Neurospora crassa OR74A: one gene and its partners. The protein of the gene in region 1 purifies or fractionates together with the protein of each later gene. This does not show direct contact. Links are inferred from orthologs where the notes say so. Each region holds a gene or a part of one and is shown on either strand. Other genes may lie near its edges. The genes, in order: rpt-2, NCU07913 and rpn-12.

Evidence for each region.
Region 2: the proteins of rpt-2 (region 1) and NCU07913 purify together in Saccharomyces cerevisiae (affinity purification with mass spectrometry; 4 studies listed by BioGRID). This does not show direct contact. The link is inferred for Neurospora crassa OR74A from reciprocal best matches to the Saccharomyces cerevisiae genes RPT2 and SEM1.
Region 3: the proteins of rpt-2 (region 1) and rpn-12 purify together in Saccharomyces cerevisiae (affinity purification with mass spectrometry; 4 studies listed by BioGRID). This does not show direct contact. The link is inferred for Neurospora crassa OR74A from reciprocal best matches to the Saccharomyces cerevisiae genes RPT2 and RPN12.

The regions. Positions count from the first base shown.
Region 1 is NC_026505.1:3,289,584-3,293,333, reverse strand, and holds rpt-2 (26S protease regulatory subunit 4), read left to right. Parts: upstream 1-1,177; 5' UTR 1,178-1,386; coding exon 1,387-1,389; intron 1,390-1,455; coding exon 1,456-1,515; intron 1,516-1,629; coding exon 1,630-2,439; intron 2,440-2,496; coding exon 2,497-3,003; 3' UTR 3,004-3,426; downstream 3,427-3,750. Other genes in the region: NCU01225 (ubiquitin conjugating enzyme), read right to left, coding at 1-231; NCU01223 (hypothetical protein), read right to left, coding at 3,427-3,750. UniProt on the Saccharomyces cerevisiae protein: The 26S proteasome is involved in the ATP-dependent degradation of ubiquitinated proteins. The regulatory (or ATPase) complex confers ATP dependency and substrate specificity to the 26S complex. Has ATPase activity.
Region 2 is NC_026504.1:1,371,850-1,375,599, reverse strand, and holds NCU07913 (hypothetical protein), read left to right. Parts: upstream 1-1,593; 5' UTR 1,594-1,952; coding exon 1,953-2,076; intron 2,077-2,312; coding exon 2,313-2,424; intron 2,425-2,745; coding exon 2,746-2,785; 3' UTR 2,786-3,229; downstream 3,230-3,750. Other genes in the region: NCU07912 (hypothetical protein), read left to right, coding at 25-90, 148-411; pgk (phosphoglycerate kinase), read right to left, coding at 3,326-3,750. UniProt on the Saccharomyces cerevisiae protein: Versatile protein that might stabilize multiple protein complexes involved in diverse pathways. Subunit of the 26S proteasome which plays a role in ubiquitin-dependent proteolysis.
Region 3 is NC_026507.1:2,809,383-2,813,132, forward strand, and holds rpn-12 (26S proteasome non-ATPase regulatory subunit 8), read left to right. Parts: upstream 1-1,648; 5' UTR 1,649-2,003; coding exon 2,004-2,591; intron 2,592-2,735; coding exon 2,736-3,017; 3' UTR 3,018-3,332; downstream 3,333-3,750. Other genes in the region: NCU10066 (coatomer alpha subunit), read right to left, coding at 3,498-3,740. UniProt on the Saccharomyces cerevisiae protein: Acts as a regulatory subunit of the 26S proteasome which is involved in the ATP-dependent degradation of ubiquitinated proteins. Necessary for activation of the CDC28 kinase.

The DNA of each region.
Region 1 (3,750 bases):
CTTGGTAATAAGATACATCGAGGGCGGCTTGAACGGGTACTTATCCGGAATCTGAATGTCGACCTCGTATGTACCCCCAGCATAGGGCGAGTCTGGAGGGCCGCTGAAGGAGCCCTTGAGGTGCGACAGATTGCTCGAGTCGAGAGGTTCGGCCATGACGCCCGAGGTCTCGCGGTCATTCCATATATCCTGCAATTCCTTCGCAACGCGGCGCTCACGAGTAGTCGCCATGGTCAAGTGATGGGGTGTTGGTGCAGAGGAAGGGAAGTGTATTGCGCCCAAATGGGAATGGGAGTGGGTACAGTATATGGTTTGCTGTTGGACGCAAATAAGATGGTAGGAAGTGGTGTTCAGCGAAATAAGTGAAGTATAACAACGGAGTACTGATAAGATTAACCTTGTGGAGGGGTCAAGGAGGCCCGTGAAATGATGTTGCAAGGTGAGACGGGAGGGTTTCTTCAGTGATGGAGGAGCTGGCAGTGGAACGAACGACAGGACGTTTTAGGTTTTCTTCCGCAACTGATCGAGGATTGGCGAACCGGGCCTGCTTAGGTACCGTAGGTTATTTGTGAATGCAAGGCTGAAAGAGCATTCGCTGACAAGGTGAGATGGTCGTCGTCACTTCCTGTCGAGGGAAAGGAAAGCAAAAAGGCAACTTCAAGAGTCAGGTGGGGAGCAGCGTCCGTAGAGGTACCCAAGAGTGCCAAGAGTCAAATGCTCACATAACCTAATTGGCGAGCGTGGTGTTCTTCCTAGTGTTTTGATCGCCTCAGCCACACCTTGCTTTATTTTTTAGTATAGTACGGGCAAGGTTGAGGACGAATGACCACTGTCGCCCTCCAATGTACACAAAGTTGCGACGGGATAGGATGGAAGCAGGAGGCTCTGGCTGGACTCGTCCCTGGGATGGTCCCCTCCCTTGCCAATGTCGTGGCCATGCGCTGTATGTATGGGAAAACAGTCCGTCATACGGTACAAGTACAAACTTAAAGCTGTGCAGCTTGTCCAGGTATGGTCAGTAGACAGATCGAATGCAAACGCACAGCAAGTGCTAGGAGCGCTCAAACGACATGCAAGGTGCTATTGCCCCCGGCAGCTTAGTAGTCTTGATGGTCTGTGCGTCAGGTGTACGACTGGACGACAGACGGATGAGGTGTGTCGCGTTCACTGGGGGCCTGAACTGGAGCTCGCCATCCCGTCGCAACTGAACCTCAAACGGGCATCCGCCAACAACGAACACCAGCACAACTTAATCGTTTCCATCACTGCCGCTGAGATCAACGAGTTCAGATCGTGCGGCACTTTTGCGACCCCATCATATAATTCTCAGCACCCCTTTGAGTCTTCCACCACACTTTCAAGAATCGCGAAAGGCGGACCGTCAACATGGTCAGTTGCCGCAATACGGAGCTGAGCTCAAGCTTGCAACGCATCGCATACTGACAAGCTGCGCAGGGTCAAAATCAGTCTGGCATGGGCGGAGGCCAGGACCCTTCAAAGTCCAAGAAAGATAAGGTAGGATGGCTTCAGTTGCGTCAAGGTTTCTGTTGTGCGCGGCATGCTTGCTGTCCTGTGAGACTCAGGCGCTGACATCATGGACATCGCTAACCACCATCGCCACCAAAACAGAAAGATAAGCCCAAGTACGAGCCGCCGCCGAAGCCTACCACCCGCATCGGTCGCAAGAAGAAGAGACAAGGCGGTGCCAGCGCTGCCGCCAAGCTCCCCTCAGTGTATCCGACAAGCCGATGCAAACTCCGACTCCTACGAATGCAACGAATCCACGATCATCTACTGCTCGAGGAAGAATATGTCGAAAATCAAGAACGTCTACGCAAGGCGAAGACCGCCAAGGACAGCAATGCTCCTGCGTCCGAGCTCGAGTCTTCCGACCGTATGGCTGACGAGCGCTCCCGTGTCGATGATATGCGTGGCAGCCCCATGGGTGTCGGTGTTCTCGAGGAGTTGATCGACGACGACCACGCCATCGTTTCCAGCACATCGGGGCCCGAGTACTACGTTAGCATCATGAGCTTTGTCGACAAAGACCTTCTGGAGCCCGGCGCCAGCGTCCTGCTACATCACAAGAGTGTCAGCATTGTTGGCGTGCTCACCGACGACACGGATCCGGCCGTCAGCGTCATGAAGCTTGACAAGGCGCCCACGGAGTCGTACGCGGATATTGGTGGCTTGGAACAGCAGATCCAGGAAGTTCGTGAATCAGTTGAGCTTCCATTGCTGCATCCGGAGCTCTACGAAGAAATGGGTATCAAGCCACCCAAGGGTGTCATTCTTTACGGTGCTCCCGGTACCGGTAAGACCCTCCTTGCCAAGGCTGTGGCAAACCAAACTTCGGCAACGTTCTTGCGCATCGTTGGTAGCGAGCTTATCCAAAAGTATCTTGGTGATGGTCCTCGACTGGTCCGCCAGCTTTTCCAGGTATGTAAAAGTGTTTCAAGCTACACTGTCAAATATATACTCTAACATGTTCCTCAGGTTGCCGCCGAGAATGCCCCTTCCATCGTGTTCATCGACGAAATCGATGCCATCGGTACCAAGCGTTACGACTCGACATCGGGCGGCGAACGTGAAATCCAGAGAACCATGTTGGAGCTGCTGAACCAGCTGGATGGTTTCGACGACCGTGGAGACGTCAAGGTCATCATGGCCACCAACAAGATCGAGTCGCTTGACCCTGCTTTAATCCGTCCTGGCCGTATCGACCGCAAGATTCTCTTCGAGAATCCCGACCAGAACACCAAGCGCAAGATCTTCACGCTCCACACCAGCAAGATGTCACTTAACGAGGATGTTGACCTGGAAGAGTTCATCGCCCAGAAGGACGATCTCTCAGGTGCCGACATCAAGGCCATCTGCTCTGAGGCCGGTCTCATGGCCCTCCGTGAGCGCAGAATGCGGGTGCAGATGGCAGACTTCAGAGCTGCTCGTGAAAGAGTTCTGCGCACCAAGCAGGAAGGCGAGCCCGAGGGCTTGTACTTGTAACATAACCGCATATTATCTGGCCTAATTTGCAAGACTTTTCAGATTTGGGCGGATTGCGACTGGGAATGGATTTGACAATTCAGCCTTGTGATGTCGATATCCAGCCATCACTAAGCGTACCTTAGTTTGAGTGAAGATGAAGGGATACCGTAGCGTTTTATCATGGAGAAAGAAGAAACTTTACGGTTGGCTCCTGTAAGGGTATGTTTTCCACGCCTTAAATTGTTGGTTCGTTGATACATTCATTGTGAAGTCCAGCTTCATGTCAGTTGTATCTACGCAAAACGTGAAGCCCACCACTGCCTCTCATCCTACTCATGTAAGCTTGACGCTGCACCTCCTACGTATGCTATCTCTCCCATTGTCACCAGGCGGCATCTAATCTATCCTTCTGCGTGTATCCTTCTCTCTATCTCTATACATTTAACCACCCTTTACTCTCCTGCTTGAACCATCATGGTCCCCATCACATATTCTCCTCCCCTGCTGATCAGCCGCACTCAAAGCCTCCACCAAGCCCATTACCCCCTCCGACCAAACCTTTTTACCATCCTTCGTATCTCGCCCTCGTTCCGGCCAAGGCACACCCCCTTTCGGAATCTCCTTCACCGTGATCCCCTTCCTCCCATAAAACTCCTCATTCGCACCCCCCTCGACACCACCACCACCGTCCCATCCATCGACTCCCCTGCATACAGCCCCCCTTGCTCCTGATATAACCGTACACCAACGGTTTACTATCACCAT
Region 2 (3,750 bases), on another chromosome or scaffold:
GGACTGGAATCGAGGTTTCCGGCAATGTTCTGCCCCAGCGAGGTATGGTGCCCGTGTGCGATTTGTTCGTTCAGCGCAAGCGGGCGTACCGTGAGCGTGCAGACCTGGACGTGAGGGAACCAGATCGGAAAGTGGGGTTTTATCTAGTTGATCATCGGGGAAGGACTCCAATGGAGGGAGGTCGTCGATGTCTCGAGGTACGGTATGCCTGCCGATATCAAGCAAGTCCCGATCATTGATTCTCTTGACTCGACGAACGGGTGGAGCTTTTTCAATGAGAAGGAGAAATGCGAGTATGATCGGATTAGGTTCGTATGTACCGTAGGTTTGTTGTCAGGTTTTCGTTCTTGGGCTGAGCTGCGGCTTGTTTCTGAAAGGGCTTCGTGGTCAGCAGCGGGGCTGGTCTTTTAAGTATTCGCCCAAGTACGTGAAGGAACTAGTGTAGTAGCATTGCCCCAGAGAAAAGAAAAAAGAGGAAAAGGAAAAAAAGGAACGAGGGGAAAGAGGCGACGAGGCGTCCAAGAGACAGTGCCTTTTCCAAGAGAGACAATCGAAAAAGGGTCCCCGATGCCGTCCGCGGTTTTCACACCTTGTTCCATTCCAAGGTTGCTGCCCTGGAACTTGGGCAAACTGTGGCATAAACTGTCATAAGTCCTTCATTTGATACTGTGTTGTGTCAGTATCCATCCCAAGGTATACTGGAGATAATATCCAATGCAGCCGGCACGTCTAAGCCGCGCTCTTCTGCACACCGTACGGTACAATCTACATCTCAATCGTAGCCCTCTGGGTCTTGCATCATCCAAGAATATGGTCTGGGTTCTAAAGCCGGGTTCCAGCCATGACGGAATGGCCGATTCCCCCCAGATCTCCATATAGTCTCCGGGGTACCTATCATCCATTTCTCTCAACTCGCGAATGGCCAGGGCAAAGGCCAATCGAGTCTCAATGGGACTTCTAGGTCAGATTCGATATAAGCACTGCAGATATCGGCATCCCATGTCGTGTAACCACTTGCTAGAGGTGACATTGGAGTCCCGAACTGGTTCACCGCAATGGCTCAGTTGAGCAGATATGTATGAGGTTCAGTTTGCAACAAGAGGGGAAAAGAGAAAAGAACAAAGGTCTCGGAAGATTGGTTTGATGCCGCACCATAGAGCTACCGGGACAAAGTGTTTGCAACTGAACCAGCAGGAAGTTCTTCTTGTTAGTTGTTTGCCTCTATACCCAAGATTTCCTGGTGGGCTGATTCGCGCTCTACGTGTTGAACTAGAAATCTTAACTGCAGGCAGTATACTGTAGTATGCAAGAAATGGGAAGCCATCTGCAACTGTCAGTGATGGTTCGGACGAACTGCAATGCCTGAACAGTGCAGCGTTGATCTTCCAATATGTACAGACCAGACATCAATGACGATGCCAAACAGAAAGACACACCAAGAGCACAATCACAGCTCAGCGGCGGGGGACATACCAAAGTGGGTCCCAGAGCTTTTTGCCAAGATCTGCGACATGGCCCGTGCTCTTTCTTGCCGCCCCTGGCTCGGCCAGGCCAAGTGCAGTGGGCGGAGGAAGCCGAATTGGCACGTCGTCTCGCTGCCGCCTTGGGTTGGGGGCCCGTCACTCGGCAGCTGCAGTTGACGGAACAAACGACAAGATCACGAGCTGTCACGACTGACGGACCAAAAGCTACTACCTAGAGCTATCAACCACCGCAGCGCCCAACATCTTGCCGCCGCCAAACCGACGATTTCGATTCTCCTCCGTGCGCATAATACCAAACAACAAAACCAAGCGCAATCATCATCACCACGACGTGATTAAAAGTACGCCCGACGAGTTTGCCCGCCTTTCGAACAATTCGTCGATACAATCCATCCGTCTAGCGTCATCAGCTTCAGTCCAGCTGGTCCCATCCCTCTATACCTACACACACAAATCACAACATTCACAATGGCCTCAACACAACCCAAGAACGACGCCAAGTCGACCGAGCCCAAGCCCGAGCAGCCCGTTACCGAGAAGAAGACGGCCGTGTTGGAGGAGGACGACGAGTTTGAGGACTTCCCCGTCGATGGTTAGTCTGCCCGCCATGGCTAAGAAGCACCTTTTGCTGGACGCCGCATCGCATTTCAAACACCACCGCATCACGACCTGCTTCCATATATCATATCATTCAACAACCTCTCTGCCTATACCCTTCATCATTGGCACGGACACTACATACCAAACTTCCTTCAACTTGCGCAACTGCGGAGGCTAGCTCCCCCAGCTGTTGTACCGCACATGTAACTAACAAAATAACCAAAATAGACTGGGAAGCCGAAGACACAGAAGCCGCCAAGGGCAACAACGAGGCCAAGCACCTATGGGAGGAGTCCTGGGACGACGACGACACGAGCGACGACTTTTCCGCCCAGCTAAAGTACGTTTTTTTTGTTTTTTTTTTCCTTTTCTTTTCGTACTCCTTCCTTCCTTCTTCCTTCCCTTTTTACCTGCGTCCCTCCCTCCCTTTCCCTCTCCCTCCTCCTCCTACTCCTTTACTATGAACTTCCACTTCACGTAATTAGCTAGCTTTGCGCTAGGAGTTGGGATTGAAAATCCTAGACCCGGGTTGGCGCGTATTGCGCTGGGCCAGTCAGTCAGGCGTTAAAATGAATCACACCATTTTGGAACTTTATGGAGGAAACAAAAAGCAAAGCCGTATAAAGCGACAGTTGCTGACTTGTCTTTTTCAAACCATTAGGGAGGAGCTCAAGAAGGTTGAGGCTGCCAAGAAGCGGTAATCGGAGGACTTTCGAAGCTTGTACAAAGTATGATATGAGGGGAGGACAGGCGCATCAATACAATGTTGACCAAAGTTTCAGTCCGGGATCTTGCGGTGACATTGCTGTGCGAGGCTTCGATATGCGAGTGAAAGGTGAAGGAGACCCTCCGACTATAAAGAGACAATATCCGGAGACGTACCGACTTGTGTAGTCATTGACACAAGTCATTGGGTATCAACACGGGATTGAGATGATCTGCATAGACTTCGTCTCGAACTTGGTGCATAAACTCGAATAATATCTTGGGATGAACCAGATTCGTCAAGCTTATCCGCACATCACACTTCGAATCATAAAAACTGGACTTTAACTGTTTTGTTCTATTTATCGACTTTGGACTGAGTGCCTATCATAGACTGGCCCTGCTAATCCTTCCAAGGACCCTTTATCATCATATGTTTTTTTGATCCATCAGTCATGATCTCTCATTCAATATCCGAGAGGTTTCATAACATCATTATATCTCCTTCCCAACTCCTTTGAAAGCCAAGGACAAACTTACTGACGCTCGCTAAGAGCAACAACACCAGGGAGAGCCTTGCCCTCAAGGAGCTCAAGAGAAGCACCACCGCCAGTGGAGACGTGGCTGAGCTTGTCCTCAACGCCGTACTTGGCAGCGACGGTAGCGGTGTCACCACCGCCAATGATGACGGTGCGGCCTTCCTCGGCAGCCTTGACGCAAGCGTCGAGGGTGGCCTTGGTGCCCTTGGCGAACTTGTCGAACTCGAAGACACCGGCGGGGCCGTTCCAGAGGATGGTCTGGGACTCGTTGATGGCCTGGGTGAAGAGCTTGACCGACTCCTCGCCGCAGTCGAGACCCATCCAGCCGTCGGGAATGCCGTCCTTGTCTGTGGCGTAGCCAGTGTTGGCGTCCTTGTCGAACTTGTCGGCAATGGTGAAGTCGACGGGGAGCACGAGCTTGA
Region 3 (3,750 bases), on another chromosome or scaffold:
CACATCGAATTGCCTATACAAATACTTCGGGTCTTCGAATATATTAATTCAATACAAATAGAATATCTATTTAAATATACTCATCTTCTAATCGGCGAATATAACCGTATATTCAACTATATAGAATATAACCTTATTAAGGATCTACGCTACTAAATAATCGTTGTAAATAGCCTCCCGGAATCTAATTTAAACCGAATTTAGAGCAATATCGAATTTAAAGGTTAAATTTAAACTAATATAATTATACTTATTCTATATAATATTAATATTAATTATAGTAATTCAATTCGCAAATAGAAGCGGCTTAATTTTAAGTAATCTAATAATATATATAACGCTCGCGATTATTATAATATTAATAAGAATAAAGTTATTATAAGAATAATTTAAGGACGAATTTAAATTAGGACCGGCAAATATTTTTTAAGGAGGGGGCTCAATAATAGCGGAGATTATATAAATTATTTAAGATTTTCTTACAATTACTATTACTACCCGAAGTAGCTTCGTAATAGCGGGTACTGTTACTAAAAATAATTTTATAATAAAAGGGACTATAGGGGTTGCCCGAAATAGAATATTAGACACTTTAATAAACGAATTAATAAGCAATAAAAATAAAAATAGACAATCTTAGTAGAATAACCGCTTTACCTTCTATACTAATGTAGGCCGGTAAACGGAAGATATTCGTATCTCTTTATCCTTATTATTTTTAATTATATTAATTATTATATTTATAAATAAATCCCCTATATTATCCCCCTCCTTTTTATCCTCCTCCTTATCCTCCTCTTTATCCTCCTCTTTATCTTCCTTATTATTATCCTCTATAAATTCTTATTCTTACTCATCCTCCTTATTATTATCCTCTACAAACTCTTACTCTTACTCATCCTCCTACCCTTATCCATCATCCAAACTAATCCTAAAATAAATATTAAAAATTTTAATCGTCTTTAAGGGAGGGCGCTTAAACTTAAATAGAATAATCCTTAGACTATATTTCGAAGTCGGCGTTAGGGTCTTTAATATAATCTTACAGGAGCTAAACAGCTTAGGCGCAACAATATTCTTCTTAGAAGGCAGCTTCTTTAGGATAAGAGCAGCCTTAGAAGTTAGCTTAGAAGTAGGAACAACAAGGGCAACCTTCTTTACAATCTTAAGAATAACCTTCTTTAGAGTAGGAATAGGTTCGACGGAGGGGGTAATAGCCTTACTTTTACCCTTCGAATTAACAGTAGGAAGCCTTACTTCCTCCAGCTCGGACTTAAAGTCCGCTACTTTATAACTCTTTTTACATTACTATAGAGGGTTCTTCCTTATAAGAGAGGATAATAGAAGTTATAAATCGTTAACAGCTTTACAATCCCGGTCAATATCCACCGCCTAACTAATATAATACTTCCTACCGAACGCTACGACGGCGGCGGCGGTAGCGGCAACCCGGGGGTCGGTCTTCTTAGTAGTAGTACAAAATATAATAAATTACAGCAGGTAATTACGGGCGCACAAGTATAAATAGCTTCGTTGTTAATAGAATTAATTGATTTTGACTATCTACCAGGCTCGCCAGCGACTCGACAGCTAGCCAGATGATGGGGGTGCAAAGAGGGTCTGGCGTTTGGCGGTGGATACGAGGGTCTGGCGTTTGGCGGTGGGAACGTGACGCCCCCAAGACAGCGAGCATCCAACCTTCAGCCTCGACACCAAACTACGTACCTACATCCACTGCCTCGTTTCCCATGACAAGCCATAACTATCAACAAAATCCCGTCGACAAGCCATAAACCATCGCCGGTCTATTTAGTACCACAACAATATCCACTCGGAATCAGAATACACATACGCGACGCATTTACCCAACCATCACATCCACTTGCCGCCCGCGATAGCTTCAACAACCACCTAGAAGCTAAAACAACAAACGAACCTCGACGTGCGGCAACCCCAGATTATCACCACCACAACACCACAACCAGACACCACAACCGCCCAACATGGCAGAACGACAACTCACCCAAATCCTCACCCAACTCCAGACCTCCGCCTCCTCCCTCTCCTACACCGACTCCTCCGCCCTCCTCTCCAAAGCCAAGCTCTTGCTCCTCCAACTCAACGCGCTGACCCCGACCGCGCCCGGCTCCGCTTCCAACCCCTCCCTCTTCTCTCTCGCCCGCCAAGTCTACGAGCAAGGTGCCCTGGCCTCGATCCGCGCCAAGAACCCCGACGCCTTTTTGCGCTACGTCAGCCAGCTCCAAGGGTTCTACGAGCTCGAGAGTACTGTCGGTACCGGTGCCGCTGGTGGCAGGATTGCCGGTGCGGACGCAAACAGGGAGGAGAAGAACAAGGTCACGGGCTTGTATCTGCTGCTGCTGTTGACGCAGGGACAGTATGCCGAGTTCCATAGCGAGCTGGAGGCGCTGAGCACGAGGCTGGGTGGCGCGACGCGCGAGCTGGAGGCGGATAGATATCTCGGGTATCCCATCAAGCTGGAGAGGTGGCTGATGGAGGGGAGCTATGATCGTGTGTGGAAGGCAATGAAGAAGGGCGAGGTTCCTTGTGAGGAGTATGGAGTTTTTTCCGAGGTTCGTGGGTTTTCTTTTATTGCGTCTTGCTTTCTCTACCTTTTCCCCCTAGGTCCTTCTCTCTCGCTCTCCCCCAAGCAACGATATCACGATTAACTATCTGTACCACATCAATCACTAACCACCGCATCTTACTGTCAACAGATCCTCACTTTCCAAATCCGCTCCGAAATCGCCTCCTCCTCCGAGCGCGCCTACCCCTCGCTTCCCATCTCCTCCACCAAGTCGCTCCTCTTCCTCGAGTCCGAGGGCGAAGTGGTCGAGTTCGCCCGCTCCCGCGGCTGGGTACTCAAGGACGGCCACATCTACTTCCCGTCTGCTGAGCCGACGACGGAGGAGGCCGGTGCCGAGCAGGAGAAGCCCTTCAGCCGGTTGATCATTGAGAATACGCTGGGCTATGCTAGGGAGTTGGAGACGATCGTCTAAACAGTAGAAAAACAACAAAGTGGCTGGCCGGTGTGGTATGGGTTGGGTTGGGTTGGTTTATGCAAGCGTTCTTAAACGATGGTCCTTAGAGATCTAGCTACATAGGCAGAACAGAGGCCACGTACAGATACACTACTTAACATTGTGTTCCATGTGTCGCCTATATGTATACAAAAACATGATACATAATATTACGGCTTGCGTCTGGCATGGTATTATCTAACTGACAATTCATGCGACCACGACTTTCTGTTCGGATTATAGCACACGAACTTACTTGGTAGCAGGCAGTAATTGTTATGCAACAGGCGCGTCCAAAATGGTTTTGTCTTTCCTTTTCTCTTCTCCCCTGTTCTTCCTGCAGAAGAAAGCAAGAAACGCGATCATTATACCTACTTTGACTGTACTTTAACTACTACTTTACTTGTCATCAAAACCCCCATCATCGTGTAGCGCCAACCGCATACAAACCCACCCCTTTTAAGCAAACAGCTTCAGGCCACTACCGTGCTTTCCGACCTCGCAAACCTCGCAGACTGTGCACACCGTGCCCTTGTACTTGGTGTGGTACTTGGCTCCGTCAAATGCGCACTCCTCGTAAGGGGTACCGCTGTAGATGGGCGTGAAGCTGGCAGCGCAGATCTCAAACTCGGCAAACTGATCGAACTCGATCTCCACGGCGTCATGGGGGTTGCGCTCGCATTGCGCCTTGGTTCTCTTGGCCTGTTATTTT